4 linked regions of the Rhinolophus ferrumequinum genome follow. The protein of the gene in region 4 binds, or shares a complex with, the protein of the main gene of each other region. Links are inferred from orthologs where the notes say so. Each region holds a gene or a part of one and is shown on either strand. Other genes may lie near its edges. The genes, in order: CWC15, SF3B5, RBM48 and SF3B2.

The links.
Region 1: SF3B2 (region 4) and CWC15 share a complex: the UniProt entries of both Homo sapiens proteins name them as parts of the minor spliceosome. The link is inferred for Rhinolophus ferrumequinum from reciprocal best matches to the Homo sapiens genes SF3B2 and CWC15.
Region 2: SF3B2 (region 4) and SF3B5 share a complex: the UniProt entries of both Homo sapiens proteins name them as parts of the SF3B subcomplex of the 17S U2 SnRNP complex. The link is inferred for Rhinolophus ferrumequinum from reciprocal best matches to the Homo sapiens genes SF3B2 and SF3B5.
Region 3: SF3B2 (region 4) and RBM48 share a complex: the UniProt entries of both Homo sapiens proteins name them as parts of the minor spliceosome. The link is inferred for Rhinolophus ferrumequinum from reciprocal best matches to the Homo sapiens genes SF3B2 and RBM48.

Annotation. Positions count from the first base shown.
Region 1 is NC_046294.1:65,762,815-65,770,169, reverse strand, and holds the start of CWC15 (spliceosome-associated protein CWC15 homolog), read left to right. Parts: upstream 1-4,355; 5' UTR 4,356-4,472; intron 4,473-4,630; exon of another isoform or gene 4,631-4,706; intron 4,707-5,543; exon of another isoform or gene 5,544-5,716; intron 5,717-5,832; 5' UTR 5,833-5,840; coding exon 5,841-5,971; intron 5,972-6,585; coding exon 6,586-6,698; intron 6,699-7,312; coding exon 7,313-7,355. UniProt on the Homo sapiens protein: Involved in pre-mRNA splicing as component of the spliceosome. Component of the PRP19-CDC5L complex that forms an integral part of the spliceosome and is required for activating pre-mRNA splicing.
Region 2 is NC_046286.1:88,694,621-88,701,050, reverse strand, and holds SF3B5 (splicing factor 3B subunit 5), read left to right. Parts: upstream 1-4,933; 5' UTR 4,934-5,062; coding exon 5,063-5,323; 3' UTR 5,324-5,679; downstream 5,680-6,430. UniProt on the Homo sapiens protein: Component of the 17S U2 SnRNP complex of the spliceosome, a large ribonucleoprotein complex that removes introns from transcribed pre-mRNAs.
Region 3 is NC_046303.1:33,699,606-33,706,977, forward strand, and holds the start of RBM48 (RNA-binding protein 48), read right to left. Parts: upstream 3,303-7,372; 5' UTR 3,265-3,302; coding exon 3,154-3,264; intron 2,614-3,153; coding exon 2,423-2,613; intron 857-2,422; coding exon 717-856; coding exon of another isoform or gene 711-716; intron 1-710. Other genes in the region: peroxisomal ATPase PEX1, read left to right, coding at 3,630-3,758. UniProt on the Homo sapiens protein: As a component of the minor spliceosome, involved in the splicing of U12-type introns in pre-mRNAs.
Region 4 is NC_046294.1:5,802,499-5,810,804, forward strand, and holds the start of SF3B2 (splicing factor 3B subunit 2), read right to left. Parts: upstream 3,220-8,306; 5' UTR 3,139-3,219; coding exon 3,006-3,138; intron 2,840-3,005; coding exon 2,790-2,839; intron 2,490-2,789; coding exon 2,412-2,489; intron 817-2,411; coding exon 568-816; intron 260-567; coding exon 209-259; intron 1-208. UniProt on the Homo sapiens protein: Component of the 17S U2 SnRNP complex of the spliceosome, a large ribonucleoprotein complex that removes introns from transcribed pre-mRNAs.

The sequences.
Region 1 (7,355 bases), about 60 Mb from region 4:
TGTTCTTTTCAAATATGAATTTCAGACTAGTAGAACATAAATTACCTTTTTCTCCTTTAAAATATAAAACTATTAAGGCAATCCTTTTTACATCAAAATGTGATTTCCACCCCCCAGTTAAAACTCATTCATTCATTCATTTATTCATTCATTTAGTCACTCATTTGTAAAACGTTTATGGGCGCCTGTTGGTGCCAGACATTGTTTTAGATGTGGGGACTACATCACTGGGCAAAACAGACTCCTCCCTTGTAGAATTTATATCCTGCATGTGATAGGTAGAGAAAGAAATAATAAACATAAGTAAATTTATAGGATCATGGAAAACGATACGTGCTAAAGGAAAAGTAGAGCAGGATAAGCGAGATAAGGAGTGCAGGATGTTACAGGACAAATGTGGAGGAGGGTTGCCAGCTATAAACAGGGCTGTCTTAATTGGCTGACCTCATTTGAACAAAGACTTGAATAAGACCGGCAAGAGTGTTCTTAGCCAGGGAAATAGCTAATGCAGGAGCTATGCTCAAACAACACTAGGAAGGCGTGTAGCCTAGAGAGGCATGATCAAGAGAGGTCAACACGTTGAGGAGAACCTTGTAAGTCACTGTGAGCACCTTTGACTTTGACTGTGAGGGAAGTGGAGTCAATGCCTCCCTGCTGTCTGACTGGATCCCCTTTGCACCCAATCCCATCTAACAGTATTATTAATTTTTAAAAATTGTTGACAAACTAATGCTATAATGTGATAATTGTTAGTTTGCTTTCATTTTCTTAATGGGGTGCTTGAGTCTTTCATGTTTATTATCTATTTGGAATTGCTTTTTCTGAATAGCCTGTTTACATTCGTTGCCCAATTTTTTTATTGGGTTGTTTGTATTTTTTATATTATGTGTATTAATAGTAGTGGGGTAGTCATAATCCTTCATATGTTAGACACATTACAGAATTCACCTGCTAATCTGGAGTTTATCTTTTACAAACCCTAGTTTGTATAAATAGTCTTAAATTTTCTTCTTCGATTTCTTCAGTTACTGTTTTCCTTTGGGGTGTTTAATTCAACTGGACGTAGTGTTTGTGTAGGCTTTGAAACCAGAATTCCTACATTACATCCTGCTATAAGAATAGTCAGTTTTGCTATCATAATTATACAAAACATTCTTTTCACATTGAATTAAAATACAACCGTGTCATGTTAAAACGAAGGAGCAATTTTTAAGGTTAATATGTACTACACCATATCCAAAAACTGGTAGGAATGAACTGAAAGGGATGGATTAATAGATTATGAGAGACAGGAAATATAGTAGGATGCCAGTCACTAAGCAGACTAGAGGGACTGGGACCCAGAGCACAAGGGAGAGGGTTTGGGTCACCTCACCTCTAACACATAGAAAGCTGAGGGCATGGGAAAAGTCAAAGGCAGCTCGGTAGGTCTGCTGGGGAGCAGATGAGGAATCCTTGTTTAAGAGCTTTTATTTTCCCTGAAAAGTTAGACGATTGTCCGCTCTTGGGAAAGAGGACGAGGAAGGCCAAGAGGGTAGAAGAGGCATACAGATTTGAGGAAAGAGAGGAATGTGAGAAATCATATTATTGCAGAGTGAGAAAATAAACAATTAGGACAATATAAGAGGACTGGCAGGCAGAATTAAGGGCTCAACTAGATTTTTGTGGTAATAGGTTTAAAATGAGAATTCTTGGGAGGTAATAAATGATTTTTGCCAGCAAGCGTAGCTGAAAGGATGAATTTTAAAGTTTTAGTAAACTTACTTTTCATTTCTTTTTCAAAGACTTTCAAATCATTTTAGTCAAAAGCTTTACAGTTTCATTTTCTTATTAGTACTTTACAATCACTTAAGTAAAAAAAAATTAGTTTCTTTTTCTTATTAATACTTTCAGAGCATTTAAGTCAAAACTTTTAATTTTGTGGACTGATTATATTGCATGTTGGTGTTAATTATACCACTGCTGGTAAATTACAAGTGTGGTTATTTAACCATGGATAATGATCAAAAAATTAGGCTGTGGGCCAGTAGTTAAATGAATCAGGGTGATTGGCTCAGGGTTGATAAGGCAGTTGGAACACAAAAATCAGGGGTATTTTCTATAATTGTGTCACCACCTTGTCATTGTTACTTCATTCCTCCACTTCATAGTGCATCAATCATTCATTCATTCAACAAATACTTACTCAGCACCTATTATGTGCCAGGCACTGTTCTATATGCAGAGGATACACCAGTGAACAAGAGAGACAAGGTTCCTGATTTTCTGGAACTTATGTTCTAATATAGGAAGATAGACAATAATAAAAATAATATTAATAATAATAATAGCTAACATTTATTTAGCAAGTACTGTTTGCTGAGACAGTTTTAAGCACTTTACAAATATTAATTCAACTAATCCTTATAATAACATTATGAAGTACAGTGTAGAATTTTCCCATTTTATACGAGGAAACTGAGGGCACAGAAAGGGAAAACAACTTGCCTAAGGGTACACAGCTAGGAAAGGGCAGAACTGGAATTTAGAACCAAGCCTGTCAGGCTACAGGTTTCTTTCTCTTAATGACTTTGCTATGCCGCCTTTCAGACAATAAATAAGGCAATAAACAAATAATGAACAAATTCAGGTAGGTTTAGTATTATGAAAAAAATAAAACAGGGTGATGTGACAATATTTGTGTGTTGGAGGAGTAGGGATGCAAACGTAGATGTCAGGGAAAACTTCACTGAGGAGGTGACATTTGGACTGAGACTGGAAGGATGGAAATATAGGTATCTTGGAGCACAGGCAGTAGAGAAAAGCTAGTGTAAAGGAGACTTTCCTTGTTTGTGAAACAGAGATGCCCAGTTGGCTGTGCTAGAACTTAGTGTGAAAGAAAGTGACTGATTAGAAGTGAAGTCAGGGAGGTAGGCAGGAGGGGCGGCCTGATGGGTCCTCAGGCCACAGTAAGAAATATGATTTTTATTCTAACTGTAATGGATTTTTATGCAGAACAGTCACACTATGTGATTCATAATTTTAAAATATCACTCTCACTGCTACATGCAAAATTGAATGTAGGACAAAGGTGGAAGCAGGAAGATCCATTGGGAGGCAGTAACAATCCATGTGGAAAATGACGGTGGCTTGGACTGGGATATTGGCAGTAGAATGAAATTTAGGGTATATTTTGGAAGTTGAATTGGCAAGACTTGCAAAGGAAATGGATGTGAAGAGTGAAGAGAAAGGAATTTAAGAAGCCTTGGGATTTGGGTTTAAGTAATGGTATAATAGTGTCCTTTACTGAAATGTGTGACACTTGAGTAATACCTTCAGTAAGAAAAAAATCAAGATTTACATCTTGAACTTTATGGAGAAAGGGAGTTTGTCTACTTTTTATTTTTTTCCATTTGAAAGTTTCAGAGTTCTGGGAAAATAAAATCATTTTGATGTTTAATTTTACAAGCTCTTTTACATTTGAAACTAAGTTGAAGGAGCTGAATTTTCATTTGTTTAACCATTTATTGAGGATCTACTATAGCCAAGTGATGAGATACCAAAATAAACTAAGCAAACCAGATCTCTGCCCCCAGAGTGTTTTTCTTTGGGGGGGGGGGGGAGGCAGAAGGGGGCGGAGGAGAGACGGAAGAACAATTCATGCTTTTTTTTCCTGTTCGTTGTCTTTTGAAAACTTCACCTGACGCCTGAGTAGCCATCTTATAATAATTGCATCTCGTGCTCCTGGCAGTTGGGCCCACCGTTCTAAACGCTCAATTAATAAATGAATCTCTAATAGTGACATCTCCCCTCCCGCTAGAACTTAGCTTTTTTTAAAGTAAAAATTTTCCCAAACAATACGAATACAACCTTTGCTTTGAAGACTAATATTTTGGCAGGAATGGTACCTTTATAAAGATCGTGGTTGCCCCCGTACATATTTGTTCTTTCTTCATATCCAATTAAATGAAAATACTAGTTTTTCCGTAGCCCAACTCTCTAGGCTTGTTGGGTCTAGATCAGGAGAAAGGCAGCAGGAGCCGTTGGATTTAAACAGTTGGGTGTAATCCTTTTCTACGCTCTCTCTCGCTAGCCGGGGACGTGGTGTCGGCTACCCGGGGCTTTCCGTCCACGCAGTACCGGAATGAAGGAGTCTGGGAGGGGGTCGGGGAAGGAAAAGACGGAAGAGACATTAAGTAATTGGTTCTTGAAGGTATAAAATCATGTTTAGGGTATGCTCTAAAGCACGGATTTCAAACGCCCGCCCCCTGGGCTGTTTCGACCCTGCCCCTTGCTGTCGTCACGCCGACACCACCTCGGTCTCTGAGGATTGGTCGAGGCTTCCGCCTCTGAAGGGCGGCTAAAGTGCTTGCGGTTCGCTTCCGGGTCATCGGCATTGGCCCCTGGCGCAGAGGATTCTGGGAGTCAGGAGTGGTAATGGTGTCTGAATCCCCTTCGACGGCTGCTGCATCGGATCTCGGCCAACGTGAGCGGTGGGAAGATAGCAGATTGTCTTCGTTATCCGACTGGGGCGGGAAAGGGCGGTTTGGATCGGAGTCGCCGACGGAGAACCGAGCGCGGGCGGAGCAGGCCCTGGAGCTGGGGGCGGGGGGTGGAGCTCTGCACCTGTGGGCGCGTCTCCAGTCCCGGGGGCCCCGGAGAGTGCAGCGCCGAGGCAACGCTACAGACCGCGTTAAGCAGGGTCTGGGCCTCGCATCGATCGCGGGGTAGGGCAAGGGGAAGAGTCAGCGAGTTCCTGGTGACCTCCCGAAGGCGAACTCCCGGGTGGCCAGAGTGACAATTGTGCGGAGGGGGTGTGGGAGGCAGCGGCGCCCCCAGCGGCAGGAAACCCTGTTTCTCCTCCACTGGACACATCTTTTTACCTTTTTTTTTAAAATCTAGAGACGTATACTACCAGTTAGTTACCCCAACTTCCTCCATGCACTTGGTTTTCTGACGCTTACCGGGATTTTAGTAGCCACATCTGCTGGGTGTGGTATTCTTTCGACTATTCAAAACCAAAAGTAACGTAAAGAACGAGTCTCTGATCTTATCACAATTCTTTGGGGGTGAGATTCCTGTCTTATGAGCGTTCCTTAAGTTATAACCTACAAAAGACCTGATTTTATATTACGTTGGCTGCTGTAAGAGAAAGTTGGGTCAACAGAAGGTTGTTGGAGAATTCTTCCCATGTAATTGTCATTGAAGTTTAGCACTTTTCTCCAGGACACTCAGTAATTGTAATTAAGGTATTATTTTTGTGATTTTTAAAATACTCTTTTTGTTTTTGTAGTTACTAGCCTATTTTCTGTTGTGTGAGGTTTAGTAGGTTGTTGCAAAAGTAATTGCGGTTTTTGCAATGTTTAATCTTTTAAACCGCAGTTACTTTTGCACCAACCTAATAGATAAAATGCGAACTTTAAGGAGTCTGGTGGAGTAAGGTTGAGTTGAGAATTTTTAAGACTCAGTCATGGCAGTATCATATTTTACAAGAGTTTTGCCATGGCAAATCACATAATAATTCTATGACGAATATCCCCATTCCACAGATGAGAGAAACTTAAGCTTGGTGACTTGCTCAAGGCCACAGAACCAGAAGGAGAACGGGAACACAAATTCAGATCTTCGTGACTAGAATTTTTTGTACCAGATAGGAGCTTCCTAACAAGCCATATTCCTTGTACCTCCCTGAACCTCATTTTTTTCCCCCGTGGAACTTTTGTTTGAGGTTATTTAAGTAAGTTTTGGGGAATGAGCTGTGGAAATTACTTCACAAGGGTGAATATTGATTAATACTTTATAAAATGAGATTTTGCCATATGGGAAATAATGTGATATTATTTTTCTTCAAAGCGTAAAAGATGACAACAGCAGCTAGGCCAACTTTTGAACCTGCAAGAGGTGGAAGAGGAAAAGGAGAAGGTGATTTGAGCCAACTCTCAAAGCAATATTCAAGTAGAGACCTACCTTCTCACACAAAGATAAAATACAGGTAATGAAGACTCATTTTTTTCGTGTTCACAAAGCAAAATCAAATCTGTTAAATAGTATGGTCACGAGATAGTAGCATGTTTAGCTTACATTGCTTAAGTTATCTATTTTCATGGGAGTAGAATGCAGTAGTGTATAACACTAAAATTATGTTCTGTGATTGTAAAATACTAGCAGATATTCCTTAAGCAGAAATTCCTGTTTAACCAGGAATTTCTGTATGTAGAAATTCCTGTTTAACCAGGAATTTCTGTATGTAGATAAAACAGTAACTAATATATTAACTCAGAGGGACCATGCACTATTACTACTAATCAATATGAGATCAAAAGTATTCCTGTAGCAGGACCTGAGTTAACATACTAACAAAAAAGTAAAGACATTTTAATCAATCTGCAGCCTTACGGGGACATACATGATTTCAGTTTGGGCTTCTTGAAATCTGGAAATATCACAAGGATGCCTGTTAATAACCTTCACATTAGGATAATAATTTTGTCCAGTTCCCTCTTTCATACTTGAGGGACTCGAGGACAAAGTTGCTTTTTGTGAATTATCTTCCATTGCTACATCCTGGGGTTGTTTTTTAACACTTTTGTCCTGGTTTGTTTCTAGACAGACCACTCAGGATGCCCCTGAAGAGGTTCGGAACCGTGACTTCAGGCGAGAGTTGGAAGAGAGGGAGAGAGCTGCTGCAAGAGAAAAAAATAGAGATCGTCCAACCCGAGGTACAAACACTGCCCCGACATTTGTCTCATAAAATTATGTTGACAGTAGTTTTTCTTTCATGGGGTAATTGGAATAGATTATGTCTTTTGTTTTCTTTTAAATATTGGTATGGCCTGCAAAACTTTCTTGAATGATGAGAAGTGATAATGAGGTCAATTTCAGGTCCATCTTTTTATGATTCTATATCAGAAGGAAAAGGTTGATTGGGGCTATTTAGCAGCCATTGTTTCAGTTCAGATCAAGGAGTTATTGGTTATTTACAAGAGCCACACTTTTTGGAGCCCCGTGATTTCAGTCTATGAAATTTTCCCATTTTTGTCACTGGCTATAGGAAGGTGACATCAGTTATTAATATAATGTCTTTTATATTTCCAGCATATGTAAACTATTCTCTAAATTCCCCTGAGAGAGGCTGCAGTTCCCATATTAAAATCAATACTTTCATTAATTCTGTCAACAAATATTTACCAAGGATTTATTTGCCAGGCACCATGGTTTTGATCCCTGTTGTCATGATGGTTATAGTCTAAGCTCTTTGTGCCCACGTCCCTAAAATGTTTTAAGAAGTACAGTATTTGTTTCAGTAAGCGAAGTGATGTTTGTTTTTTTCCAGAACATACAACCTCCTCTTCTGTGTCAAAGAAGCCTCGGTTAGA
Region 2 (6,430 bases), on a different chromosome or scaffold from region 4:
CAAATGAGGAAGCTCTTTATGTACTCATATGGGATGATTTCCATTATATGTCAAAAAACTAAACAACAAAGTACAGAACTATGGTGAGCATTTTGCTACCATCTGAATTTTAGAAGGGATAAAATAGCATATATATTTGTATTTGCTTATACATCCATTAAAAAACTCTCTAGAAGAATACACAAGATACACATAGCAACGGTTACTTACTGAGGGCGGGGTGGGAAATGGGCAGATGTTGGAAACTGCTTTCCTTTGTTTACTTTTTTGTTACGAATGATACCTTGACTATTCAAAAATATTAAATGACTGTTTTTATAACGTTAAAGCCAACAGCACAAGAACAAGAAAGATTCAACTAGAAAATGTTGCCTTGCCATTTCCAGGCTTAAAAAATAGACTAATCAATCTATAATTTTCTGTCTAAAAACCTATTTTTCTTTATAAATTTTTAATTCTATATCTTTTTCCAGTGGAATCTTTTCTTGCACATATTTTTCTTACTCAAATGCCAAACTGAAGACGGCATGTGATAGTTACATAGAAGCAACCTAATAGACAGGATTGACTTGAGGTTATTATCTTGGGGCATGAAACAGGAACAGCTGTCCTGGCATGTCTTGACAAAAAATTTGCTGGTTCCAGAACAAAATTCTCTATTGGCATTCAGTGTAAAGAAATTATGATATTCCTTACTAGGTCACAAGTTAAGACTCAAAGGAACATCAGTAAGTATACACAGCAGATACTCGGAATACATCTAACAGGAGATGTGAAAGACCCATGTGGAGAAAATTCTACAAGCTTATTTTAAAGTCAAAAAAAGTAGACATAAATAAATGGAAATATATACTATGTGCATAGATGAGAAAACTCAATATAGTTAAGATGAAAATTCTCCCCAAATGTGCCTATGAATTCAATGTAATTACAATTAAAATTGAAGCAGGGCTTTTTGATGTCTTTGAGGATCCTTTGAGGGAATGTAGAAAGCACTGTTCAGAGATTTGGGTTTGAAAAGTTAATATTCAATTTATTAAAGTTATAAATTTAAAAAAAAAACTACCTTTTTCCTTAAGCTTTTAAGGTCAGCTAAAAATCCTATAAGTCTAGAAAATTTTCACAATAACTTTTAAGGGGCCTTTGAATAAAATTGAATTCCACTCCAAATTTTAACTCTTAAACATTTTAAGCCACACTTATTAATGTAATACATTTCATTTTCCTTGTAAATGTTGCAATTGTCTGTTTTAACAAAATAATTTCACATACTTATTTTCACAAATCTAATTACAAATATGTAAAAAGAAACAAGTTTTCTTATTCCACAGCTGAATTGTGTCCCCTCAAAATTCATATGTTGAAGTCCTAACCGCCAATAACTCAGAACACAACTGCATTTGGAGATAAAAGCTATAAAGAGGTAATTAAAGCAAAATGAGGTCATGTGGGTGGATCCTAATTCAACACGACTGGTGTCTTTGTAAGAACAGCTTTGGATACAGACACACACGGGGGAAACCATGTAAAGACATGGAAGACGGCCATTGGCAAGCCAAGGAGAGAGACCTCAGAATGAAATCAAACCTGCCATCACCTTGATCTTGTACTTCTTGCCTCCAGAACTGGGAGGAAATAAATTTCTACTGTGTAAGCCAACAAACTACTGTGGTAGTTTGTTGTGGGAGCCCTAGCAAACTAATACACTTTGGCTCTTAATTAATCCACATAAATGTATATTCCATTTAGCTCTCAAGGCCTTTGAATTTGAAGACTTCTCTCATATCCTTAGAATCATTCTTAATAATGTAGAAATAATATTAATTTCCATGGCTTTGTTTGACTACTCCATCACAATTTCCATGAAGATTTTACTGACAATTCTAAATTCATGTAGGAGAGCAAAGGACCAAGAATAGTTAAAACATTTATAAAAGAAGAAAACTGTATAGGCTTTCACCCTGTCAGATATCAACTTATTATAAAGGTACAATAATTAAGATCTTGTGTTACTGGTGGGGGAATGGACTCAGAAACTGATAGAACAGAATACCCAGAAACAGACCTATACAAGAGAAGCATGAAAGATGAGTAGAGAAAGGATGTACTATTTAATCAATAATTGGTTAACACTGGGAACTTATTAGCCATATAGGAAAAGTTTTTAAAATTAGATTCCTAAAGCAAAACAAAACAAAACAGAAACTTCCAGGTGAATTTAAGTTCTAAATATGAAAAACCAGAATTCTAAAACTTTCAGAAGAAAATGAAGGAAACTCTTTTTATGGCCCCAGGGTAGAAAAGAGTTTTGCTTGATTCCATTTTTTAAACCAAATGCAAAAAGCACAGCTATAACGGAAGGCTGATACATTTGACTACTTTAAACTTAACTTCTGTACAATAAAAGATACCCATAAAGGAAGGGTCAAGATAAGCCACACACTGGGAAAAACTATTTTCATTGCATTCTAACTGAGAAGCCTAGTATACTGAATATATAAAGATCTCCTAAAATATTAGTAAGAAAAAGACAAACATCCCAATAAGAAAATGTGCAAAGTATATGAATATGTAATTCATAGAAGCAGAGATGTAATAGGCCAATAAACACATTTTAAAAAAAGTTCAGACTTCCTAGTAAGCAGGAATATGCAAATTAAAGGCTCAATGAAATTCCATTCCACCCATCTGGTTTGAAATTTTTTCAAATGTCTAAGGACAGCAGGTTTGGGGAAGGATGTGGATCAGAAGGAATTCTCATTCTGCTGGTGGGAGATCCAATTGATACAATCCATTTGGAGAGCAATTTGGCAATATGAGGCAAAGCTTGAAGACATTCATCCGTATATTTCAACTTTATTCCTATATACCGGTATATTCTCCAAAGAAACGCCTTCACATGTATAAGAATATATGTACAAGAATATTTCTTGCAGCATTGTTTCTTATAGTAAACATGTGAAATTAAATAGCCATCATTGAGAAAATGGACATGTTACGGTGTGTTAATTCAGTAGCATTGGAAAGATCCTACAGGTAAGTTTGGGAACTTTCCACTGTGTGCTTATATGGTGGAAAGTCTGTGAACTTAATTGTCTGACCTTTTTTTCGTACTACACAACAGTAAAAATGAATTAAAGCTATTAATACATCATATCAACATGAATTCTGATGAGGGGGAAAAAAGCAACTTTCGTAACAATACATATGGGGTGTCATTTATTTAAAGCTATAAAACATACATAACACTAACACCTATTGTTTATGAATGCACAAACTATCAGCAATCAAAAACACAAACAAAAGAAACAGGCTCAGGAATGACTAACTTTAAATTCAAGACAGTATCCTGAAGTGAATAGATGAGGGAAGGGAACAGAGAACTTCAAGTTTATTTCTACAGTTTTATATCTTTTAAAAAAACCCAAAACAAAGCAACAAAGTTGGGAACAAAAATGCCAAAAAAGCAAGGTTTGATATATCTGGATGGTGAATCCACAGGTATGCCTTATGATAGTCTCTGCATTTTAAGAATGAAACGTTATAACAAAGTTTAAAGAATAAATTTTTATTTTTTATTTTTGGTACAGGCATTTGATCCCATAAGAAATATTTTTGTCATTTTTTAAAATATTTTTTAAAAATAAAAATTGTATATATTTAAGGTGTGTGACTTGATTTGATATGCATATACATAATGAAATGATTGCTAGGCAAGGTAATGAACATATCCATCTCCTGCCATAGGACTTTTTTTTTGCGTCTGTGTGGTGAGAGCATCTGAAACCTACTTAGAAATTTTCCAGTATTCAGTACACTATTCACTATAGTCTGCAACTTTGTATCAGATTAAAACTATTTTAAAATTATCTTTCTCCCAGTAAAGAGGTCTATTTGACTGTCACACAGTTGTTTATCCATTCATCAAATGTTTCTTGAGAATACAATCTCCGCCAGGCTATGAGGATATCATAAAAGAATATAAAAGATACCATCAAAAAAGTAAACTTTCTCAAGTAGTTTGTGCTCGCGTGAGAAAATTCTTAAACCAAAAATTATAGAAAGGAATAACAAAGAGACGACGTACAAGATGCAAAGAGAACGAGAATTTACATCTGTCTGGATTAGCCAAAGCCGATTTCAAGGAGATGCTTTTGAGCTGACTTAAAGGGAGAAGTGTTTGCCAAGGGTACAAAGGCATTCCAAGCAGAGGGAACAGCTTGTACAAAGAACTGGAGAGGCGAGCAGCACGGAACGTTGAGAAGTACAAGCTGGAGCGGGTAGGGTGGGGTGATGAGTTGGAGGGAGGATATCAAAATAAGCTTGAGAGGCAGGAGGGGCTTGATGTGGAAGCCGGAACGTGCTGGAACTGGTACTGTACACTGATCCCCGTGCAGGAAACGGTGGCCCTGAAAGCGGGGAAATAACGTCCACTCCACACCACTTGTAAGTGACCTAGTTGGTACCAGAATTCGCGTCTCCACACACTTCAGGGTGATCTACCCCTAGTTGTGAAGTGTGTACCGCCACGTAAGCTCCGAAATCAAAACTATTCGGAGTACTTTTTGCCAGTTGCCTATAGCCCTGTCCTACTTGAATTTCCCATTTCTTGTCCGCCCCAACTGCGTGAGGACAATAACCACCTGCCACACGCCGTACTCCATCAGGCCGCCTAAGGCCTCTTAAACCGCGAGGAGGAATTCCAGAAGCATGGTCGGCTCGAGGCCTAGGAGACCACAAGTCCCAGCATGCAAAGCTTCCTGTTAGAAAAAGGGCCACTAACTGAACCATCATGCAACGGTCTCCGAAGGGAACGGGGTTCTCTATAGGGGCGGAAGACTTGTAGCGTCGCCTAGGCAACTCCAATACCGCGACAGAATCCACTTCCTCTTCCGCCTTTGAGAGCCTGAGCCGCGAGTCTACGTAGCTTCGACGTGGTGACGACATTCGCCAGCGACGGCACCGGTCCGGAGGTTCAGCGGGGCGGCCCCTCACCGGTGTGATTCTACTGCAGCTCCTCGTGTGTGTCCTCTGATCCGAGAACAACCGGGAAAGCGGCGAAATGACGGACCGCTACACCATCCACAGCCAGCTGGAGCATCTGCAGTCCAAGTACATCGGCACGGGCCACGCCGACACCACCAAGTGGGAGTGGCTAGTGAACCAGCACCGCGACTCCTACTGCTCCTACATGGGCCACTTCGACCTTCTCAACTACTTCGCCATCGCGGAGAATGAGAGCAAAGCACGAGTCCGCTTCAACTTGATGGAGAAGATGCTGCAGCCTTGCGGACCGCCAGCCGACAAGCCCGAGGAGAACTGAGACCCTCGCCTTGGCACCACGGTGCGGGAGCACGTCCCTCCCTGCGTTCTACCCGTTTGCCGTCTTTTCCCGCGTGCTCCTGCCCCAAGTGGACCGATTATCCCTGAATCCTGCCCCTCGAGCTTCCTTTGTACAGAAGTGCTTACCCGGGGCATCTCGCCTGACCTGCCTTCGTGTTGACGCTTCGGAACACAGCCCTGGGAGACCGTCGAGATCCCTGAGAACTGTGACCGTGGAGATCCTACAGCCAGCCGGGGCTAGGGGAGTGAGCCCTGGCGTGAGACGGAATTTGGACGCTCGTTTTTGCCTAGTTGATTGTCGTTGTTGCATTTACCATAAAGTTTAGAAAATGTTCAGTCTCTTGGTGTGGGCTACTTGTTTTCAGGTGGAGTGGTCTGTGGATTCTGGGCTTGTGGTTTCGTGTGAGTCTGAGCAGGAAACTGGGTGAGGGGGTGGAGGCGCGGGGGCCAGCGTTCATTGCCATACACTTAAATCCACCCTGCATAACCGCAAAATATTCTCCCACCCTGACTTCTCCGAAGAGTCTTTTTCAGGTTCATACCGCCGTCAGTATTGCGGTGTGAGATCATTGTATCCCACCTCTTTTTCTCCCATTCAGAAAATCTGTCATTGCCCTTTCTCTCTAAATTGCATTCTGTCTTTTTCTTGGGACTCTGTGGACATGTCATGAAAAATGGCAAGGTGTCAAATGAGCTTTTTCATTCGTTCAACATTTAACAAGTCTATGTTGAGCCCCACGTGGTGGGCGTTTTTCCCAACTTTGGGGGGCTTATACTAGTGGAGGGAGAGGATGCCCCACGAACTAGACAGGAATGTTAGAAGGTGCTGTAAAGGATGGGAGAAGCTATAGGCTTGTAATTTTAAATAGGATGCTCATGTTAGACTGTTGAGATAGTAACCTTTGAGCAAACACGAAGGAAGTGAGGGGGAAAGCCAGGCAGAAAACGGGGAAATGGCTTTCCAGGCAAAGAGAACTGCCAATGCAATGGTCCTAACGCTGGTATTGTGCCTGGCTTATTGGAGGAAGAGAAGGAGGCAAGTAAGGGAGGAGGGAGTGAGCAAGGGTAGAGGGACAGGTAGTGGAAA
Region 3 (7,372 bases), on a different chromosome or scaffold from region 4:
TGAGCCTCTAGTACTATTCAGATTTCAGACCACACACATAATTTTAATCCAATTCTGACTGCTTTAGTCCTACAATCCAGGAACCAGATCCCATGGCTCCATTCCTGGCATTTGGAATTTATGTCTAGGGAAACACAGTTGGGCATATGGGGCACTTAGCCAGCTGCTGGTCAAAAGTAGAACATTTCCACTTTTAGCAGTTTTAGATTAGCAGTTGGTAACTGGTCTAAAAATCCTAATTTTCTCTCACTGCCTTTAGGTCAGACCTTAATTCCTTAGCATGTGACACAGGCCCTTCATGATTCACTTCCTGTCTTTTCTTAATCTTATCTCTGAAGTCTCTGTTTTGTGGTTACCCTGTTCTAGTCACAGTTCCTTAAAATACATGATGCTCATTTATTCCTCTGAGCCTTTAAAGATGCTATCTGGGTAACGTCTACTTATCCTTAAAGATGCTATCTGGGTAACGTCTACTTATCCTTAAAGATGCTATCTGGGTAAACCTCTCTCATCCTGTAGGAAGTTTTCCGCAAACCAGCATCTCTCCCTTCTCAGTCCAGAAAGAGTGCTACACAGAACCCTATAGTTTATAGTTATTGAATATTGTGATCATTTACTTGTCTCCCTTTCCACGAGACTGGGAGCTCCATGATGATATACCTAGCAGAATGAATGACACATAGTTGTGTTTAGTAACAGGCTTTCCATACCTTTATTTTTAGTAATTCTTGCTATATAAGCCTTCCTCTCTTGTAATTTTTTTCTAGTTTCTTCAACTGTCTCAAATTCTGGAGCATAGCACACATGAAGCAATCCACCAAAGAAACTCTGTTCATCCATTTTTCTCTTGGCTGTCCTGAACAGAAATACATGATAGCATGGTTTATCAATCTAGATTTACTTAGGACGAAAGCTTGACTAGTATACAATGCATTGATCTATAGAGCAAAGTCCAGCTTTTGCTATGTGCATGTACATCCTGTGGTTTGGGAATTAAGATGCTGTGCTTGTGAATGCTATCGACCTTACTGATCCAGTGCATTCTGTTAGAACATTGACTCCCCTCTCCAAACTGTATTAATAGGTTTTGAGCTAAGTGATCCACACATATACAGACTCCCTTTAACCAACTTAGGATCCAGCTGGGTAGCCTAAGGTGTACAATCTGGGGTCACGAAATAGAGATTTTCTCTATGGTAAGTTAAATGGCCCTTGAGAGTTAGTTCATACCCAATGTAGCCTTTTCAGCACAATGTGTTCCTATAATGGGATTCATATATGAAAAAATTAATAATTGTAAAACCTACAATAATTGAGGCAATACTGAATATATAACAACTATTCAATGAGAAAATGAGAAGACAGTATTCATTCAATAAATACTTAAATATCTATGACCGGTCAGGCATTACTACAATAAATAGTTAAGTACTTCTGAGACCAGGTATAATGATAAGAACTACTTATCATTATATGAGGTTTTACTAAGTACTAGGCAGTGTCCTAAGCACTTCACTTGAATTAACACTTCACAACAACTCTATGATGAAAATGAGGCCTGGGGACATTTATAACTGAGCCATGCTCACGTTGGTTTGTGGAGCTAGGATGCAAATCCAGATGTCAAACGCCAAGCCCTACTGTACTAGGTGCTGTAAAAAATGCAAAAGCTCTAGAAAATATGCTCCCCTCACCATGAGGAGCTGGCAAGTTGGATAGGGAAGTGATATTACATAGAAGAGCAACCTGAGAACAATACATGACCCCATAAAATCAAGTGCTTTAATGGTAGACTACATGTGCTATTCGTGGCACACAAAATATGAATTGTAATAGCCAGGGAAGGATGGGTCATGGAGCAAATTAGTAAGGGTCAGCATAAAAGTAGATAAAGCCTTTCGTATTTCAGCCTTATTGGAACAGAATTGTTGTATAGAAAGTGGAAAAGATGGCGTCAATTTACGCAGGTGCATAATAAGAACTTCAATAATCAATGTTTACTGCATTCTGAACAGGAGGCACCACACTAAGTCCTTTATATGGATTATCTCACTTCATCCTCACACAACCTCACTTAAGTAGGTCCTTCTACCATATGGATTTTACAGAATAGGAAAAACAGGCTTAACAGGGTTAAATAACTTGTCCTAGGTCGTGATGCTAGTAAGCTGTAGAACTTGAAAACTTACTCCAAAGTCAATTTTTAATTTACAACACTGTATGACAGAAAACTGTTAAGCACGGGAATGATATGATGGAATGTGTTTTGGTAAGGCTAACATTTAAAAACACTGGAAGAAGACAAGAATAATACAGGACTATGTTGTTATTGGGTAATTCAGGTATGAATGGCAGACAACTGGGTACAAAATAATAGCAACGGGAATGAAAAAGATAAGACACTGCTTAACTTGCATATTACCTTGCACTTTGTAAATTCACAAATTTAATAAGGTAAACTTCTGTAAAGTCTTCTGCTGGGTATTCATCTAGAGCATTATACTGTTCAATTGCTCCATACAGAGCAAATCGCTCAACTAATTCCTTCATTGCTCCCACTGCAGGAACTCCTTGTATTAATAAGTACCGAGATTCCAAATTAATTGTATATACCTAAAAGAAATGCAGACACATTAAACGTATTTCATAAATAAACCTAGGACAAATCTACTTAAAAAATAAAAGCTTTAAAAGCAAGAAATATTCTGTTCCACTGGTCTGCAGAACACAGAACATCAAAAAATGTGCACCTCTCTCTGCATAACGAAAAATTCACCCCACGTGTGAGGGCCTCTAATTAAAACCTAAAACAGACTACCTTAACTGACATGTTTTCCAGAAGCTGGCTCGGTAAAAGTTACTGGAGTTAACAAATATTCATTGAGAGCTTACCGTGAGCCAAGCACTATCATAAACACGGAAGACCCAATGACTAAAACAAAGCCCTGTTTCGCAGAGCTGACGTTCTAGCAGCCGACCGAAGAGGTCGTGGAATCTTGTGGTACCTGAGTACCAGGCTTCCTAACACCCATCTCCGATGAGTAAGGGATACAACCTCAGTCTTTCAAGCCTTTATTTACGTAGGCTGGGCATGTGAAACTAGAGCTCACATAAAACGACTGAACTTGCCGAATGAAACCAAAATCATTTTACCTTGACAGCACGAGGCCGTCGCCCCTCCCGATATTTGGCCCGCGTGTCGCATATAGCCTTTTGGACGTGGTGGTCGAATAAGGTCCCCAGCTCCCCACCACTCGACGCCATCTTGCCGACTTTGGCCCTCACAGAGACGACAACATCCGCCTGGCTGCCCTTCTGTTTGTCCAATAAGAGAGAGGGATGAGTCAAGACGTGCCGGGATTGGCTGAGGAATTGACCATTGTTTCCTGCAAGCGATGATTCGGTGAACGAGGTGCCGCCCCCCAGCGGCGCGGCGGATAGGCCCAGAGAGCGGGAGAAGGCTGCTTGCTCCTCCCCCTACTCGTGAGCGGTGAGACGCGCCGCTGGGCAAGGGGCCAGGGGACGAGGGGGGAGGGACCGATCGATTTTATCCGGGTCGGACGCTCTGGGCCTGCCGGGTTGGCCGGGTCCGCTAGGGTTGGCGGTCGGGGGATCGGTGTTGCCCGACAATGTGGGGCAGCGAACGCCTGGCGGGTGCCGGGGGAGGTGGGGCGGCAGTGACTGTGGCCTTCACCAACGCTCGTGACTGCTTCCTGCACTTGCCACGGCGCCTCGTGTCCCAGCTGCACCTGCTGCAGGTAAAGCGCTGGCTCCGACAGGGTCTCCCAGCCCGGACTCGGGACACCTGGTGTGTAGTCTGGGGTCGGACCCGACCGAGGCCTTCCAGGGACGCGGCAGCCGCTCAAGGCCTCATCCGACGACCGGGTACGGGTTGCTTTCCCGGTGCCGCCGAGCGGTGTAGTGGCCAAACTGAGGGCCCTTCGAGGTCAGGGCCGGTCAGGGCAGTCTGTGCACTCCACACCACGTCTAGTGCAGCCCGGGCCTTTTAGTTAACTGGCCTTATCCCTGGGCTTTTCATTCGGTGAAACTGAGCTTTCAAACATCTTAGTATTCTACCTCTACATTCAGATATTCCTCATTCCAGGTTAGAAAACCCTTCAGAAGGGCTTTTGTTGTTATTTTTGTTTTTTAAGAATGTTCTTCCCGACGGCGATTTCCAGGTCCCTGAGCGGCTGTGGTCCCGGCCTCCAGCAGAAGGAGCAGACTTGGTTTGCGGAGTCCCTGTGCGTTAACAGGGACTGAGCCCGTGTCCCACCAGCGGGATAGGTTAAAGGTTCTTCTCTGCAGTCACGGGCGGACGCTGGGAGCACCTCCAAGGTGTGCCAGGAACGTGCAGTGGATTGTGCATACTTGGATATCTGTAGTTAGGATTCTTGAACCTCTGTTGTCATTAGCCCTTCTAGATTTAGTATTGTGGTTCATGGCTTTAACAGTTGCCTGAGATATGACATCCCTCCTTTCATAATTAAAAATAGAGGCACCTGGTCTAGGAGTTTGAGTGTGCTTAGGGAGGCAAAAGGCTAGAATACAGGCACACCTTGGAGATACTGTGGGTTCGGTTCAATACCACTGCAAGAAAATGAGTATGGCAATAAAGCCACTGGTAATCTTTTTGCTGATAGAGGGTCTTGCTTTCAATTTGTAAAGAACGCACCATCTGTGAAGAGCAATAAAGGGAAGCACAATAAAACGAGGTGTGCCTGTATTTGAAATCCTGGAAAATCCTGGACGTGTGGTACTCACCACTGGCTAATCCAAGCAGGAAATACTTAGAGAGTTTGCAATAATTTCAAGTATCGCACCTTTACACTTTAGCTGCTTCTCAGTAACTATTTTTCTAGATTATTTCCCTCCACTATCTTTCAAAGCTTACCAAATTCAGCAGATCCTTCCATTATTTCTTTTAGCAGACAATCTTTTGGTCCCTACGAGCTTCTTTCATGGCTGGAGAAGAGTTCATCACTAAGTCTAGGCAGGCCCTGCCCTGTGCTCTCAGTGAGATTTGGTGGAGTTTTTCAGCTGCTTTCAAATCCCCACCTAATGAGTGTGTAGGAATACTGCTTATAGTAACTAATAATGTGGCCCTAAGATGTAGATGCTATGTTCAATTCATCAGTGTTTAAGAATTTAGCAGTCTTGTCTTTATTTTAAACTTTGAGCTTTCAATAAATATTCATAAGAATTAATTCATGGATATCTTTTTGAAATTTAAATCTCTTCGGCCTTGGAACGAATTGTTGTTTCTGTTTAACTTATATCAGCAGAACAGGACAACTTTTCTCCCCGATTATAAAAGTAATATATGTGTTTTATAGAAAATTTAGGAGGCATGGAAAATTATAACCCAGAAAATTAAAGTTACCATTAATCCCCAAATCTGGAGATAACTAATGTTAACAGTTTGGATCAAATCTTCCAGTTTTGTTTCGAATCTTTAATTGTTTTTAACACAAATGAAGTCCTACACACACATATAGTTTTGTGTCCTGCTATTTTCGTATAGTATTATTATGAGTGTTTTATTTTGTTTAAAGGTCATCATTTTTCGTGTTTAATTAGTATTCTATCATAAATTTGCCATAATTTTTCACTATGATTGGACATTTATATTGTATTAATTTTTAGACATTAAAAGTGATAACAATAATTATATTTTAATAAAAAAGAGCACATCTTTGTTTATAAAACATTATTTTCATTTCTGGTTATTTGGGGTGGGTTCCCAGAATTATTGGGTTTGAGGGCATATGTTATTATTAAAGCAGAAAGTCATGAGTTGGGAGTTAATAGGTTGAATTATTTTATTTGGGCTGAAGCATTGAATGCATAATACAGATAATACTGTAAGGGAGGGGATGAGGGTGGTTTTGTGGCCTGTGTCAGACTTACCCTGAAGCTTTAAAAAATACAGGTGTTCTTGTCCTTCCCAAGATCTACTGAAACAGAAATTGGGGAGTAGACATCTGTAACTTTTAAAATAACTCCAGGCTACTTAGATGCACAAATGTGCTGAGACCCACTGTTCTAGAATCATAGAATGTTGATGGTGAAATGGACCTTAGGTGTCTATCTCCAGGCATACCTCGGAGGTGTTACGGGTTTGGTTCCAGCCCACTGCCCTAAAGCGAGTGTAGCCATAAAATGAGTCTCACCAAAGAGCGAGTTATAATCTTTTTTGTGGATGGAGGGTCTTGCCTTCTATTTGTAAAAATGCAACATCTGTGAAGCACAATAAAGCTAAGCACAATAAAACGAGGTATGCCTGTAGGTCATTTCTGTACTTTTACACCGAAGGAGACTGGGACTCCTAGGCGGTACCATTTCCATGCAGTGAATTTGCCTTCTTGTCTATAAGTCACTCTGCGGCATCCAGACTAGGCTTCTCATTATTTCATTCATAACCCAGCTACTTCCCACTTCTGTATTTTTACTCAATGCTATTGTTCTTCCCTACATTTTCCTCATTCCACGCCTTTAAAAACTGAACATAATCCTACCTCCTCCAGATAGCTTTCAAATTCTCTGTTGCCTACATTTGTCTCCTTTTCAAAACTTTCAAAACTTCACTGCTGTGTTTATGTGACGCATCTCATTTGTTAAGCTCTTTTCTGTGTTTCAAGTATTGTCTTTTGTTTATCCAAGTCCTCGTTTCAGGACTGGATACCCAGTTGGTGCTTTAACTCAGGATTTCTTAACATTTTAGGCTGGGTAATGTTTTGTTGTGGGGGCCTGTCCTGGGTACTGGAAGATGTTTAGCAGTGTCCTTGGTCTCTACCTACTAGATGCCAGTAGCACCCCTCCTCCCAGTTGTGGCTACCAAAAATGTCTCCAGACATTGCCATATGTCTCCTGGGGGACAAAATCACCCCCAGTTGAGAACAACTCCTTTAACTTAGTTACTTTTTCTGTACTCCAGGCTCAGGACTTGCTATGATTGATGAAATGGGGGAAAGGATTCATATGCATACTGAATTGTCTTCCAGAAATGACCAGAGAGGTACAGATTGTCATTTCTTTTGTGTTAGCTAGAAATAACCCAGGCTGGGACCTGGCCAGTCCTAAGGCATTGCAACCTATGATTTCACCTGAAGGTTTGGGCAACAGCAAGTAGTCAGTCATTTGCTGATTAGATTAAATTCCTGGAATAGGGGCTCCTTTCTCTAGTCTGTCCCTTCTCTACCTGAGTGCCCAGGGCGCTGTGGTTCAAGTGAAAAACTTTTGACATAAAAATGAACTCAGAACATCACTCTGCAAAGTTTACTAAATTTAACTGAACATATTTTATGACATTTATGGAGCTGGTTACTACATTTTGACCAAACGAATCATTGAAGTATTTTTTCTGTTTAAT
Region 4 (8,306 bases):
CAAAAAAAAAAACAGGCTGCAGTTCATAGTTTACTGACCCCTCGCCTACAAAAAGATGGAATTATTTGGGAGATATTGGAACTTAGTTGAAGATAAGGTAACCTCCACAGGAAACTTGAATGGTGCATCTTTTTTTGGACACTGAGCACTCAAGGTGACAGCCAACAGACTAGACCATGGGGTCAAAGGTTAGGATGAAGGGCATTACCCGCTTCTGCTGTTCCAAGAGCTCATGTTCCTTCAGTGAATGATCTCCCTGCTTAAAAATGAAAATAAGCTAATTATATAAATGTCTAACCACTATGCTGTACACCTGAAACTAATATAAAATAATACTGAATGTCAGCTGTAATTGAAAACTAAAAAAGTTTTTTAAAAGAAAGAAAACAAGCTCATACCAGCACCAATACCCCACAGGCCAGTCTGCCACAACTCTGCTTCCTGGGGTTCTAGTCTTTGGTCCAGAGCATCCCAGAACACTTGGCCCCAGAATCCAGCTGTCCCTGAGGCCCCACGTCCCTTTCAGGACGCTGATAAGACCCAGGCCCAGGCTGCCAGATGCCCTACCTGCTTGGCACGCTCCTCTTGCTGCATCAACAATGCCGCCTGCTGCTGTGCCAGCTTCAGCCGCTCCTCCTCTGACAACGCCACAGGCTCGCCCACCCGGAGAGGAGGCGGGGGCCCCAAGTTTGGTGGGCGGGGTCCAACTGCCATAGGAAAACCAAGGCCAAGGCCTGGTGGAGGTGGTGGGGGTGGTGGAGGCGGTTGCAGAGGTGGGAGACCCATGGGTGGCGGTGGCATGGGAATTCCAGAGAGCTGTGGGGAAAAAATATGACCATAAACTAGGAAACATTTATCTACTTAAGATATTTGCTGGAGAGCTACTATGAGCCAGGTGCTGGGATTCAAAGTCAAATGACACAAAGTCCCTGAGTTCAAGAGAATACTCTACAGCAGTGGTGTCCAAACTGCGGCCCGCGGGCCAATTGCGGCCCGCGATCCATTGTTAATTGGCCCGCAGCAAATTCCAAAAACATATATAGTTTACTTAAATAAACCAGGTGAGGCAATACGTACTTCACCTCGAGTGCGTGGCCCGGCTGTTTGTGTATTTTACCGCATATGGCCTTTGGTGAAAAACGCTGAAAAAAGTTTGGAAACCCCTGCTCTACAGCAATAGCAAGAGTTGATGGGGGGTGCAGATGGCTCAGTTGGTTAGAGCACGAGCTCTTAACAACAGGGTTGCCAGTTCGATTCCCACATGGGCCAATAAGCTGCACCCTCCACAGTTAAAGACAACGAGCTGCCGCTGAACTGCTGGTGGGGCAGCCGGATGGCTCAGGTGGTTAGAGCTCAAGCTCTCAACAACAAGGTTGCCAGTTCAATTCCCGCATGGGATGGTAGGCTGCGCCTCCTGCAACTAAGACTGAAAACGGCAACTGGACTTAGAGCTGAGCTGCGCCCTCCACAACTAGACTGAAGGACAACGACTTGACTTGGAGCTGATAGGTCCTGGAAAAACACAGTTCCCCAATAAAAAAAAAAAAAAAGTTGATGTTAACTTTGGGGCACCAACCAATGAAAACTAACAACTGTATCCCCAGCAAAATATCATGAATACACCATGTTTCCCTGAAAATAAGACCTAGCCGGACAATCAGCTCTAATGTGTCTTTTGGAGCAAAAATTAATATAAGACCTGGTCTTATTTTACTATAAGACCAGGTATAATATAATACTTGTTCTTATATAATGTAAGACCGAGTCTTATATTTGTTTGTTTCAAATGTTTCTTATGTTTGTTTCAAAGACACATGAGAGCTGATTGTCCGGCTAGGTTTTACTTTCAGGGAAACATGTAGATTTTGCATACGATTTCAGGATATTCAGGAACACCTCTAAAGGCCATCTAGGGACTCCTCATCCCACAGAGGAGTCAATGGACCCCAGATAAGAGCCACTGCTCTAGAGAAACAATCAAATCCTGGATCAAAAAGGACATGGATGAGGGAACTTAAATAAATAGAGCCAGTATGCCCCAAATGACTCACTAAATGGAGAGGGTATGAAATCAAATCAAGGAGTGAGCCCTAATGTCTCAATGAAGAACATAAAATCTGTAATGTGGGGTAGACAAGGAAGAAGGTGATTACTCCCTGCTGATGGGGTGGTGGGGGAGGATCAAGTCAGGCTTCCAGATATTCAAGCTGAATCTTAAATGACAGGTAGAATTTGGAGGAGCCGACACTGGGGAAGGATCAGGACCAAAGGAGATCTGAAGAGCTCCCAGCTCTGTCATGGCAGTACCTATGTGCCCAATCTTCTAGTTGCATCCCCAGTATACTGCACGTGAGAGGCGGGGTTACCCTGAGCAGAAGGGATCTTATTATAAAGTGGAACAACATCCTTACCTGTGCTGACATGGGTGGGGGAGCAGCTTTGTCCCCATCTTCACCTCTCAGAACCGGTCGATTCAGTACGATGCCAGTCTGCAAGAGAGAAACGACTCTAGATTAGTCCAAGAGGAGTTATTCCACTAAACGACGTTGGCTCCCATTCATTCAACAAAATTTGTGGAGTGCCTGTGTGTCAGAGCTCGGGCTAAGCACTGGGATGGATCAGTATGTATAGCAGAGATTATAGCAGAGCAGGTAAAGGCAAGAATAGGCAAAACGGGCAAGCCTCGCTAGCTGTGTGGAGGTACACAAAGAATGAACAGAGTCGTGAGGGATCATGAAGGCCTCCTCCAGAAGCTCGGCCTATCCTGACATCCCACCACCAACACCTACCTGGCGGGTGTAGGTCTGCAGCCGTTCCACCAGCTCCTCGCGGCTCCCTGCTGGGCAAAGCACAGGATCAACAGTGTAGGTCAGGCCGAGTAGGCCAGCCGGCCGTAGTCAAGCCCCAGGGGCCCGCCTCCGCCCCCTCCCCCGGGTCTCCGGGGTAACCAGGCTCGCTTCCCCGCAGGCCTAGGCTACCGGCTCTTGACCTCCCGAGCTCCTCACCCTGGATCGGAGCTCCGATCTCTGCCAATTTGGCCTGAAGCTCCTGGGCAGCCCAGGCGCCATAGTGTCCAGGAGGTGGCGGCGGCGGCAGCTGCAACTCTCCTTTAGGAGGCTCGGGATGCTCGGTCGCCATCTTAGCCGCAGAAAGGCGCGCGACCAACCCGGAAGCTCGGGCCAAACTCTCGGCCTACTTCCCGGAACTTCCGGCAGCGCCGTACGCCACGTCCTCTCCAGGGTTGGAAGGCCGTTCCGATAGAGGCCCACCCCCTGACATTCTCCAATGGTCCCTAGGCGGCTAGGTCGCGAAGCCTTCTGGGAGTTGTAGTACGTAGTTCACGGTCTCCGGGCCACTGCACCGGGAACACTGGGGGCTAGAATGGGGGCGGGTCTGCGGGAAAGATGGTCCCAAGCGAAGGGTTTACTTTCTGCGTCTGACCGGCCCGAGCGCGGGCCGCCGGCCTTCCGGCCCGACTCCCTGATCAGGCGTGAGAGGCCCGGACGCTTACGTTCCCAAGCAGTCCCGAAGGACTCATTCCCCCGCGGCCGCGCGTCGCGGGCGCCAAGGCGCCAAGCGGGAAGTTGCAGCAGATGCCTGTGATAAAAGTGTCTGATTGTTTGCCTACCCACCCCCGACCCAGAGGTGGATGAATGCGCTGAAAGCGGATCGGAGACGGAAGAGGGGAGGACCCACCCGGGCTGAGCTCCAGCTGCCGACCTGGGGGAAGGGCGACACTAAAGCCCCTTTTTCCACCGGCTCAAATGTCGTCTACGCTAGGCCTTCTGTTTTCTTTTCCTTCCTTGGAACTCTCATAACGCGTTCAAACCAGCACCATCTGTTTTCAACTCTTTCTTGCCCCTTCTTCCTACCTCCACCCCCAAGAACGTGAGCAGGGACCTGGCGTTCAAGAGATGCTCAATAAATGATTACTGGGGGGAAAGAAGCGAATGTAACAGTCTTCCCAGCGACAGGATTTGCGTCTTTCTGAGTCTCCAAAATAAACTCCGTACCTTTTCTTTTCTCATCCCCATCAGTCTACTAGCAAGAGGGTGGACCCTGCCTTGCACCCCCCACCACCACCAGTGGCCTGTGCGCTTAGGGAGAAATGCAGCTTCCACCTTTCCTTGTCCTGACCCCTCAATTCAGTTTCTCTCCCCACCTCTGCCACTAGTTCTGAGGTCCCTCTCCCATTCTAGCTCTGTCCTCTGACTGCCTGTGGAAGCGTGAGTAAGCATGCATTGTGTGAGAGAGCTAAGAAACTCAAGTGAAATGGTCTCATTTCCCCCACACACCCACACCCTTCAGATCTCTCTAGCATGCTCCATTTCACCAGCTGTCTCCAACGGAGAAACGGCTGGGAGCAGTGAGAAAGAATGGAATGCCAGACGCAGGGAAGGTGAGGTTTAGGAGAGACAGAAAAGGATTGGGTCGGGCAGGTTGCTCACATCCCAGCTCTGGCCTGGAATTTCTCTTCACTCTAGTCCGAACCTTGACCCTTCCCCCTTCTATCACCACCACCATCCCAGGCTCCTGACTCCCAGAGAAGCCAAACCCAGAAAGGAGAGAAGAAAGAACAGTGGTGCCCTCTCCTCCAGCTTGTCAGCCCACTCAAGCAGAACCATTCCTGACACAAAGGAAGTGTCTTTCTGCTCCCCGTAACTGGAGAATGATGGCAGGTCACCTGAGGCTGGAGGCCCCAAGGCATGTGTATGTGCTGGGGAAGGGCATGGGTGTCTCTGAAGCAGGATAAACTAAGGGGGCTGATGGGTGAGGAGGTAGTGTAGCTTAGGCCAGAAAGGGACAGGACAAGTAAGGCCCCATTTTATCTTAACCTACCTGGGACCCAGGCAGGATAGAACCCCCGTTGTGCAAATGGGAAGACTAGGGGACAGAGAGAAGCTGACATGCCCAAGGAGCCAAACTGGGACCACAAGCAATTCTCCTGACTCTGAGAGACCCCATTCCCTTCTCCTCCTTAACAAGGACCCTCACACAATATCTACCAGTGTGGGTCTAGAATGGAACCCAGTCTCAGCTTTGCGTGGCGGCCCCAGCTCCAGGATCCTTGCCATACCAGGCCAAGAGGACAGGCGAAAGCAGGGGTCCATGAGAACCATAGAACTAAATTGGGGCTCTTGGTGTCTGGTGTGACTTTGGGAGGTGCTGCTGCCCAGCTCCCAGGTGGCAGGAGCTGAGAACTGAGAAGGCAGTAGAAAATTCAAGCCCACCTCCCACATATAGGAGCTCACACAAAGCCTTCATCTCTGCGGTCTCAGAACAGCTCTCCATAAGACAGCTAAAAGCAACCAGGCCAGGTAACGTGCCTGGGCAGGGGTCCCAGGCCCACTAAGGCTCTGGACAAGAAAGAGAGGGTCTGGGGTCCTGATGGAGAGTGGGAGTAGGTCCGCAGCAAAGGGCTGCCTCAGAGGTTGGAAGGGAATGGGCCCCCAGGGGTAAGAAGGTAGATAGGACCAGACCCAGGGCTGGAACTGTGCTTCTCTGCTGGAGGTGGAAAAGGAGAAGGAGACAGGGGAGGGAGCATGTGGATGCTTGTAAATGTACCTGCGTCTCTAACTCCCCCAGGACCCACCAGCCCAAGAGTGACCAGTGGGGCCCAGCAATGCCCAGCAATGCGGGAGTATCCAGACACCGTCCCCACCTCAGTTTCCCCTTCTGTAGAGGGAGGTCAAGGAGCTGGCCACATTGGTGTCCACAATCTGCAAGGTTGCCAGGGGAAGATGCCCGCATCTGAAGACAGTACTCGGAGAATGTTCCTCGGCAACCTGCCACTCAGGGCTGCCCCCTCCCCTTACCGCTCCCCTTCTCCTCCCCCTCCCCTGCGCTGCTGCTGGGCCCCCGCCCCCGCCCCGCCTCCGGTGTGCTATGGGGGGCGGGCGGCAGGCAGAGCTGAGAGGAGCGAAGCTGAGCGGACGCCGCCACCTGATCCCATCCAGGCGCGGAGAGGGGAGCGACGGGCACTGGTGCGCAGGGCCCCGGCGCCCTCAGACCCGCACCAGATTTCAGGACAAGGGTTGGGAGGTAGCGGCGACCACCCACCAGCGGGGTCGGAGGCAGAGCCCGCGCTCACGCGTATGTACTGCAGTGGCCGACCTGGGGCTGGGGGGCGGGGTAGACCGGACCGGGATGGGGGATGAGGGGTGGGCGGGAGAGTGGCGTGGGGGCCCAGAGCCTGGACAGCATGAGGAGAGGGAGCGTTCTGCCCCGAGGAGCGGGAGATGACACAGCGAGAGGGGGAATCTGGCCTATCCCCTATGGTGACCAGATCCCGGTGACAGATCCCTGGGGGAGGCTGGGGTGAAACTGAAGGAATGGGGAGTTGGGGGCAGGCAGGTAGTGACAGAGGAAGGAGGTGAGGGGAATTCAGAGGCAGGGATGATGTGGGGGAGGATGACAGGGAAAGGGGCCTGGTGCAGGCTGGAGGGGGGAAGAGAGAGGGAGGTGAAAAGATATTTGATGTCCTGGGACACTAATTTGCAGCCCTTTAGCCCTTGGCCCTTCCTCTCTAGTGCCCTGGGCATTTTCCCTACTCACTAGGCTGTGCCATCCTCTAGTAAGGATGGAGTCTCGGGGCAGCCACCCGTCAGGTCCCGGTAGTCCAGGCCAGGGCGCCCTTCTCCTCTAAATGCACCCATTTCAGCCCTAGAGCTTGGAGGGGAGAGAGAACAGGGCTCATTTGGGAGTGGGTGGGCGTCCAGGCCAGTTTTCAAAGCTCTGGTTGGCTATACCATCTCTTTGGTTCCCTGGAGAAAGGAAAGCAATTTGCAAAACCAGGCAGCAGCGTGAGGTAGATGGTTCTGACTAAAATTAGCACTGATATTCTGATGAGGCTGAGCACACTGACCTGTCTGGGACAGCAGAGGAAAACTCTCTCCACGGAGAAGACACGGGGTCAGCTGGGGAGTAGTTTGAAGCACGCGAGGGACAGGAGCCAGTGGCTGGCCCCAGCAGACCGCCACACACCCCACACCAGCCTGGAGATCACAGAGGGAAACCCAGCCCCTCCTGGCTGCCCTTGCCCTGACTCCATCTCCAGAAGAGGCACGGGGGTGTGAACTTGCCAAGCGGCGGGAGGCTGCCTCCGGTGTCCCAGCAGCACCCTCTCTCAGGACCGAATGTTTAGCCTGGCCGAGTGCCCACCCAGAGGAGACAGGGTTACTGCTTTCAAATACCTGAAAGTCTGTCATGGGGAAACATGGTCTGTGTGGTCTAGGAGGGCAACGCTAGCCACCACGCAGAGTGGAAGGTACCAGGGGACGAGCTGAGGATCCCCGCTGTCCCAGGAAGATGCTCGAACACGGACCAGGCTGCATCTAAGGTGATGAGCTTCCCCTCATTGATGATAGCCAAGCAGAAGCTGTTACCCAGGGAATTCTCCTGCTGGTCAAGCCCTGTTCCAAGTGAGCCTCAGACCGGGGGCTAGCTGGCTGGCTTCCCAGCACTAAGGGGAATGGGATGGGGGGCCCCCCAAGCACCCCATCACCCTCCTCTGTGTGGCCTGGTTGAAGCATTTCCCTGGGGAAAATTCCGCTCTAGCTCCACCTGGGTTTGACCTCTTTGGGTGACTGCGTCCTCTGAAAAAAAGGGTTTTTTTCAGTGAGTTTAACAAAAATGGAAATAGGCTGCCCCCCGCCTTGCCCCTTTGGAAACTCCTGCCTGGTCACCAAGTCCTCTAGGCAGGATAAGTGACAAAGGGAAGAGGGCCTCCATCCTGAGAGGGCCTCCGGCTCTGACTTCTCCTGGAGGCTACCCCCCCCAGGTGGAGCCAGATCTCCTCTGCCCCAGCAAGCCTTGAAAAACCAGGGTGTGTGTGGGGGTGGGAGGCTTGGACTTTCTCTGCTCTGCCCTTGGTTGTCCTCTGTGGCTGGACCCTGCACCCCCCACGGCTCCAGGTGGATTAAGTCCGTCTGCAGCTGGTAGAGGAAACAAGGGGATGGGGCCTGGGAAGGAGGGAAAGGCATAACCAGGACATCTTTCCATCCAAACAGGTTTAAATATAATCCAGGATTAATTGGGGGCAGAGGGCGGGGGAGGAGGAGAATTGGAAGCCAAGCCCAGGGTCCCCAGGGAAGGTGATGGTCAAAAGAGTTTTCACATTACCTCACCCCTCCTGGGACCCAGGTGTCCTAGTTCCACACACATGCACATGTCCGTAAGGTTCCAGACTCCCCCTCCCCTTTGGAGAGGGGTGTATGTGAGGTAAAGTTGAACTGAGGCCCCTGGGGCAGAGACCCCACCCTAGCTGCTGAAGCTGACTTTCCACTGGCACTGCCAAAGGCTGGGCT